Linked DNA regions of Caenorhabditis elegans. The protein of the gene in region 1 purifies or fractionates together with the protein of each later gene. This does not show direct contact. Each region holds a gene or a part of one and is shown in the gene's direction. Other genes may lie near its edges.

Region 1 (3,671 bases):
GCTTCCACTTCCGCCTTCTCGTTTACTGTCGGCTCCGTGTTGAGCTCGATTAAATCGATCCGGAATGTATTTGCCCTCCTGATCACGTAGAATTCCAGCTGGATCACATTGAACACGCTTGCCGAGCACTGATTTTAGACGGTCCATTAAGGTGTATCTGACCTTCCGAGCACAATCATTTCTCTCGAAATTCACGTAGGCTAGGCGTTCGTCTTCTTCCGGGTTTTTGACCACTTTTATCTGAAAAAATTGGTATAAAATTGCGGAAATCTCAGGATTTTTTGGTTGAGGCTCAGGATTTTTTGGTTGAGGCTCTCTGGATTTTTGGTTGAGGCTTTCTGGATTTTTAGTTGAGGCTCTCTGGATTTTTGGTTGAGGCTCTCAGGATTTTTGGTTGAGGCTTTCTGGATTTTTGGGTGAGGCTCTCTGGATTTTTGGTTGAGGCTCAGGATTTTTGGTTGAGGCTTTCTGGTTTTTTGGTTGAGGCTCTCTGGATTTTTGGTTGAGGCTCTCAGGATTTTTGGTTGAGGCTTTCTGGATTTTTGGGTGAGGCTCTCTGGATTTTTGGTTGAGGCTCAGGATTTTTGGTTGAGGCTTTCTGGATTTTTGGTTGAGGCTCTCTGGATTTTTGGTTGAGGCTCTCAGGATTTTTGGTTGAGGCTTTCTGGATTTTTGGGTGAGGCTCTCTGGATTTTTGGTTGAGGCTCAGGATTTTTGGTTGAGGCTTTCTAGATTTTTGGGGCTTAGGATTTTTATATATATTTTTTGGACTTTTGAAGAATTTATTAACTTTTTAGCAACATTTATAGAAATCTAAGAAAAATGATTGCTTTTTTAATCGATTTTCGAAATATTAAAATCAAAAATTGGTTCAATTTCAGGAACATTTAGGAATTTCAGATTTCAATTTTCAAGTTATTTTTACAAAAAAAGTCGATTTTTTGCTGCTTTTACCTCAAACGGAGCATATTTCTTGAGCTCTTGTGTCAGATATTGCTTGATTTGTTCCCGTTCCAGACGGTCATCGAAGCCGGAAATTCGAAGATTCAGGTAGACTTCTGGTGAGTGGCTTCCGAAGCGTTCCCTGAACAAAATAGAGAAAATTATGATTTTTTTATTGGTTTTTTGTGATTTTTTTCGGCAATTTTTTCTTCAAAAAGCTCCTTACCGATAATAACTGGAAAGTCCGTTGCAATTCGGTCGGTATTGAGGTCTACCGCGTTCTTCTGCCATTTTTCGCTGAAGAAATTCGAATTTAATTCGTTTTCGAGAAGAATCGGCATTTTTAGTTAAATTTCTTAGTGATTCAGGTGTAGAATGAAACGAATAAAAGAAGCAATAATAAGACACAGAAAAAGTAGAGAGTAAGCTAGAAATAAGATTGACTAAACACTGAGTTTTTGCTGAAAAAGCCGATTTTTCTCAAAATTACAGCTGGAATAGAACAGACAGTACAATAGAAATAGAGTTTTAATATGAATTTTAATATTAAAGAATCTGAAAATATATTTAAACACCAGAAATTTGTGTAAATCGATGAATTTGTAGAGCTCGTGAGCTAATCAATTATTTGCCAGCGATGTGTGCATTCTGACGTGACGGTGTACGTTCGCGGTGGTTGCGTACTTTAAATTGTTGACCGTACTCGGTACTCGGCGATGCACTGCGCATTCTAGGAAATCGATTTTCTTCTATTTTTTGATTTTTAAATCGAAATTTCTAAAATAATTCATGGTTTTCTGTCAATTTCAGATTTAAAATTGACAATTTTCAATTAAAATATCAAATTTCATTCTAAAAATCCACTAGAAACGAGGCTCCACGATTCCGGCGCTCTCTGTTTATTTTGCACGTTTCCAAAGGGCGCTTCGAGCTTTTCCCAGTGTTTTATTGAATTTTATGTGTTCTCGTCCCATTTTCTCAGTTAAATCATGCATTAAAATTATGAAACTGCATTGATTACCTCTTTTTTCCCGGAAAAATCGTATTTCGTTAATTAAAAAAAGTCGATAAGGCTCAATTAAATAAATCTATTTTCAGGATGGTTGCCGCTTCTGCCACCCGTAACATGCTCCATCAATATGGCCGTCGCGCCATCGGCATCTCGTTGATCGCCTCCGTCGGCGCCACCGCCGCCTTCTTCTTCGGATACGTTCAGCCAAGACACGAGAAATACGAACGCTTCTTCGCGTATGTATTTTCAACTTTTTCATAAAATGTTGGTTGAAATTAACCGCGAAATTAGTGAAAAGAGCGAATGTTTGACATCCAGAATTCGTAAAAAATATGGAATTCAGTATAAATTTGCGATCCGTGGTGCCAAAATCGAAGAAAATCGCTAATTTTTCCGGATTTTCACTTTAACAAGTCTCGAAATCAGTTTTTTTATTGGGAAATTTATCGTTTTTGCTGATATTTCACTCAGGATGACCACTAGAAGCTTGTGAACCTCTGACACGATTTTTTGTCGATTTACGGAGCTCAATTTTATACTAAATTTTAGCTACATTTCGTCTAATTTTGCCTGATACTGGTCCAAAATGGAGAATTTCAGTTCTAATAGGAAACAAAAAATTAAAATACACACTTTTCCTCAAGGAGTACACGAGCAATTGACAAAAAATTAAAAAAAAAACAATTTACGTTCAAAATCGTGAATTTTATGTCATTTTCCCCCTGAAAATTCAATTTTTCTTTCAGCAACTACGATCCATACACCAGAATGAAGGAGATCTGTGCCGCGAACAAGGGATACATGCACACATGCCCACAGGAGCTCGCCAAGCTCTACGAGGAGAAGGGCAAGACTGTTGCCGATTTGTAGACGCCCACGCCTCGAATCTTGTGTGTGTTCTTGTACTATTTTGTTAGTCAATTTCTTATTCTCTTCGAAATGTTGCGATATTCTTAAATAGCTTGGTTTGTTCCGAATAAAAATGTTCGTAATCCGTTTCTTCGATGAGAGCCGAGGTCTCGGTTTCTCTGCACTCTCCCCTGACAACTACAGACTCTAATTGGCACGCCGGACACCTTTTTTCTCGTCTACCATGTGTTCTGCTGCTTTTGCAAAAATATATGGATTTCTTGAGCATTTAATCGCCGAGAAATCGATTTCCCCGTGGATTTTCACGATTTTGTGTCTGCGGAAACAATTTCCCTGGAGTTTGAATTTCGTGGAGCCAGATTCGCAAAAATTTTTAGTATCTAGCTTTTTGAACAAAGTTTTATGATAATTTAGGGTCTCGCCACGCTGATTACGCATCAGAATACTAAAAATTTGAATATAAAAAATTTCGGTGAATTCGAATCCACGTGAGCTATTTTCCAGGGTTTTTGATTCCACGGATATGAATTCCTGAAGATTTTCGTTTTTTGTGGTTTTTCAGCTGATTTTTTAGAAAATTTAAGATCTCGGTAAGAAAAATATTCCGCTGAAAAAAACGTCAAAAAATATAGAAAACTCGCAAAGCCGGATGGAAGCGAAGACCCCGAAAAATGGTTTCCGTGGATCCGGATTTGCCGAATTTTCTTTATTATTGAGGTGTTTAAGCGGAATTATGGAAGATTTAAAATTTTATCAAGAACTTTTTGCACAGAGACCCCTTGTTTCCGAAAATTCGACTGAAAACGTCAGAAAACTCCGCAAATCTGGATCCACGGGACCGAAGTTT
Region 2 (4,208 bases), on another chromosome or scaffold:
TCTAAAGAAAAACTCTTTTCGAAACAAAGAACATTTTCAGTAGCGTAATTTCCCAAGATTTCGGCATGTCTCCTTAAAGGATCAAGAATTTATTAAGATAGCTAAAAAGTTAATGTTTTTGGCAGTTTCCTCATTTATTTTCTATTTTTCAACAACAAAATTCAGGAAAATGAACGAGGAAGCAGCCGCAAAAATAAAAAATACTACCACGGAGTTTTTTTTGCACGCCGAGACCCATCTGAATCAATCCGTGTGACTGCATGTCATGCATGTCAATGCATGTCAAAATCTGGTGAATTTACTATATTATTTTGAAATAAGATGATTTCTTTTTGATTTTGAAATTATTTTCTAGGTATTTAACAAAAAACTATTCACCTGTAGTTACATTTGCATCAAGACGTGGATAACATCGTTGAAGAACAAAGTAGAGAAGAACCTTTTTCGGTCGCGACCTTGCATTGTCTGAAAATTAATTTATCCATTTTCTGATTATTATCTCAAAGCTTCCACTTACAAAATCGAGAAGTCCGTCATTTTGAGAAAGCGTTTTGCGATAGTCGTTATCAAAAAGCCCACGAAGCATGTGCCAGCGTTCTTGTGGAGTTTTGAAAGACTCGGATATTCTACGCAAGTCATCTCTGCCGAATTCGGACATATACTGGTAATCTATGATAAAACGATCATTATCCAGCCATCCCTGTTCATAGATCATTTTCTCGAAAACTCCATCTTTCAATGCAACATTAAAAGCGTCACGCACAGTCGGCGGAACTCTCGTCAATTTGGCCCGACCTTCAGTCACCTCGCATTGACCATTTTTCTGTGAAAAAAAATTATTTTTTAAAAACAGACAAATCTTCTAACCTTGAATAAATTGAGTCTAGTCGCAATTGCAGACCTTTGATTGTTGTTCAGCATCCTCGCTTTCTTGTCGCCGACCCAACAATGTACTCCACGTCTACCAGAAAAGACCCACATTCGTGCTTTGAAATTGAACATTTCTTCCAGTTGGAAGTCTAAGATTCTGACAGCGAGAACCATGAATTTCCAGCATTTTGGGCAGACGGTGGCATCTCTAAAAATTAGATATTCGAAAATTGGATTACAGATCCTCTTAATAACGCACTTGCAACAATTACGAACTGGATCGTAGTCGGTCAAATCGATATCAAAAACCAATTCTCGTTCCACAGCTTGGTAATCTGTATATCTCTTGTTGTTAATTGGCTCGTGATTGTAGACAGCTCCAATATCAAGTTTTTCAGGATTAGTACTTGAAAGTGCTTTGACAAATGAGTGTTCGTCATTGTAACTACGATATCTGATATGAACATCATCTGCCAGGATGAATGTGAATTCTCGGCGGTTGAAATAGTCTCCGTAATCTGCAAAATTCAAATAACGTTAAGAAAATCGAAAGCGAAACTCACTCTGTCCGTAGCAGAGCCATTTTGTGAATGGTTTGACTGGGAAGAAGTTTTTGTAGTATATTGGCAAATCTTGTGGGAGTCTGATTGAGTTATAAGACATTTCTGAAAATTGAAAAAGTATAAATATTTGGTTCAAGCTAGAAAGTGTAAAAAATTATCAAAAACACGCACATATGGCCCGCTCTCATTATCACTCCGTCAAACTTATCACTCATTTGCATGCTTCATCACAGTGTGTGTTTTGTCGTAAGATTCAGTGTGTTGTCTGCAACACCGACCGCGCATCTTTGAATTTCACGAATCATTTTCTCATTTTTAATCAAGTTATTAATTTGCGTTTTCCTCGCTCTATTATTGTTTTTTTCCGTAAATTAGTTATTTAAAGGTAAAATGAGATCATCGTTTGTGTCTAAAAGTGCAGCTGCCATCAAAACCCAAAAACCAACAGGATCACTCAAAACAAAGGTTATTTATTTGTTGAAACCTATTTTCAGTCGACTAAAATCGAATTTTCAGCTGAACAATGGATTGAAAGTTGTTTCTCAAGAAAATAATGGAGCGATTAGTCAATTGGTGAGTCGCATTCGAGTAATAAAGCTATTTGCGATTTCCTAGATCCTCGCTTTTCGTGCTGGTTCTCGTTATGAAAAGGTCACTCAGCCTGGACTTGTGCATCACGTTCGAAACTTTGTTGGAAGAGATGCTCAATCTTATCCAGGGTTGCAGCTTGTTTGGTCATCAGCCGCCAGTGGAGCCAATTTGGTTAATTCTTTCTCTTTAAATTGCCATTTTCATTTTAATTTCAGAACTCTTTCGCTACCCGTGATATTTTCGGTGTTCAAATAAGTGTTGCTCGCGATCAAGCTGCTTACGCTCTCTCAATCCTCGGCCACGTTGCTGCCAAACCAGCTTTTAAACCATGGGAACTAGAGGATGTTACTCCAACAATTCTTGCTGATTTATCACAGAAAACTCCATATGGAATTGTGTTTGAGGATATTCATCGCGCTGCCTTCCGCAATGATTCCCTCTCGTTTTCACTGTACTCCTCCAAAGGACAAGTTGGCGCTTACAAATCCCAGGAACTTGCCAAGTTCGCTGCCAAGCATTTTGTATCCGGAAATGCCGTTCTCGTTGGAATTAATGTCGATGGGTCTATTTTGAAAAGTTATGCCGAGGAGTGTGGTGTCGTACCAGACGGGCATATCATCACCAATCAGGGGTCACCTTTCAGGGTGAGAAAAATTTAAAAAAAAATTTTATTATGTTGAATAAATATTGAATAAAAAATCATTTTAGGGTGGAGACTATCGCCGTTTCGCTCGTGGAAATGATGTTCATATAATGGTTGCTGGAGATGGAGCAGCGGTTGGAGATCTGAAATTTTTGGCTGCCCAGGCAGTTTTTCTCGCTCACATCGGACGTGCTTCTCCACTGAAATTTGCATCACTTCCAGGATCAACCAGTGGACTCGCTCTTGCGAATCTTCCGGAAGGAGTTACTGGAAGTGCATTCCAGGCACCATATGATGGAAGTGGCCTTGTTGGTGTTTATTTGCTCGCAACCGGAGCTAATGCAGATTCTGCTGTTCGAGCAACTGTCAAGGTGTTGAGAACTACTCAAGTTCAGGATATTGAAGGTATAGTCGAGATTAGCCCTTGGTTTTTAAAATAAAATATTTTTCAGGCTGCAAGCGCCGTGCTATCGCCGATATCTTGTTCAACGCTGAAAACAACGTCTACTCTGCCTACGATTTGGCGACAAACGCCCTCTACAACGGTCCAGAACAGTCGGAATTGATTGCGGAAATTCAAAAAATTCAAGAAAGTGATGTGCAGAAGTACACCAAAGCCGCGTTCGAACGTCTCGCCATCTCTGCATATGGAAATTACGGAAGAATCCCATATGCCGACGAGCTTTAATTTAAATTCGTTTTTGTCAACTTTTTGTGCTAATTTTCGTTCTCTTAAAAACATCAAATCGTTTACTACCATAGACTCAGAGTGAAGCTATGAAATGGAAAAGAGCTCAGTTTTTAGCGGGAAGATGTACAGTAAAATACAAATAGAATTGCACGAGAATGACAATAGCCAAGACAGAGAGGAGCTTGGGAACAGAAACTGAATAAGACGGGATGGGGAGAAACCGGGATGATGGACAGACAGAAGAACGACCAGAACCCAATGAGGATATTCTAGATAAAAATAATAATGTACAGAGATTGAAGGCGGCGTGGGGAGCTTTAGAGAAGAATAACTTTGATTTCAGTGATTCCTGAACAGCAACTAACACAGATTTGGGTGAAAAGTGGTTTAAATTGTATGAGAAGAAAGAAGAGGAGCGGTGCTTACCCGATAGAAAATAACAGAAATGAAAGAAAACTTTTATAGGATTCAGGACAAAGCCCTAGTACTCCATTGGAAGAGCATAATCATCAAAATCGACATTGACAAAGTCTTGAACCTCTTCATCTGCCTCAACGTCTCCTTCATCTTCTTCCTCGACATCTGACACATAACTTGGAACAAATGTTGGAGAATTCGAGGAATGTGCTAGATCGGCAGGAATTGATTTCGGATTGCGTCTGTAATAAAACATCAGATTAGTCGTCTAACACTGAAAAGTACCCACATGGGGGGAGGAAGAGCAGACGTCAAGACAGCTATCAATACTCATCGTCACCATCATCGGCAGGATCACGAGACCTCTTTTGAGGTCGGATCGCCGCTTTCCGAGCTCTACAACACTGTTTTTGTTAAGAGTTTCACCCAATTT

What was found.
Region 2: the proteins of cox-6C (region 1) and ucr-2.3 fractionate together in Caenorhabditis elegans (co-fractionation; one large-scale study listed by BioGRID). This does not show direct contact.

Annotation. Positions count from the first base shown.
Region 1 is NC_003282.8:124,691-128,361, forward strand, and holds cox-6C (Mitochondrial cytochrome c oxidase subunit VIc/VIIs domain-containing protein), read left to right. Parts: upstream 1-2,040; 5' UTR 2,041-2,041; coding exon 2,042-2,190; intron 2,191-2,700; coding exon 2,701-2,824; 3' UTR 2,825-2,950; downstream 2,951-3,671. Other genes in the region: grld-1 (RRM domain-containing protein), read right to left, coding at 1-240, 955-1,084, 1,169-1,233.
Region 2 is NC_003281.10:878,042-882,249, forward strand, and holds ucr-2.3 (Peptidase M16 N-terminal domain-containing protein), read left to right. Parts: upstream 1-1,818; 5' UTR 1,819-1,823; coding exon 1,824-1,898; intron 1,899-1,949; coding exon 1,950-2,006; intron 2,007-2,048; coding exon 2,049-2,195; intron 2,196-2,239; coding exon 2,240-2,668; intron 2,669-2,732; coding exon 2,733-3,072; intron 3,073-3,119; coding exon 3,120-3,355; 3' UTR 3,356-3,417; downstream 3,418-4,208. Other genes in the region: T24C4.5 (DNA primase), read right to left, coding at 385-465, 518-823, 868-1,078, 1,130-1,388, 1,434-1,533; zer-1 (Zyg eleven-related protein 1), read right to left, coding at 3,840-4,017.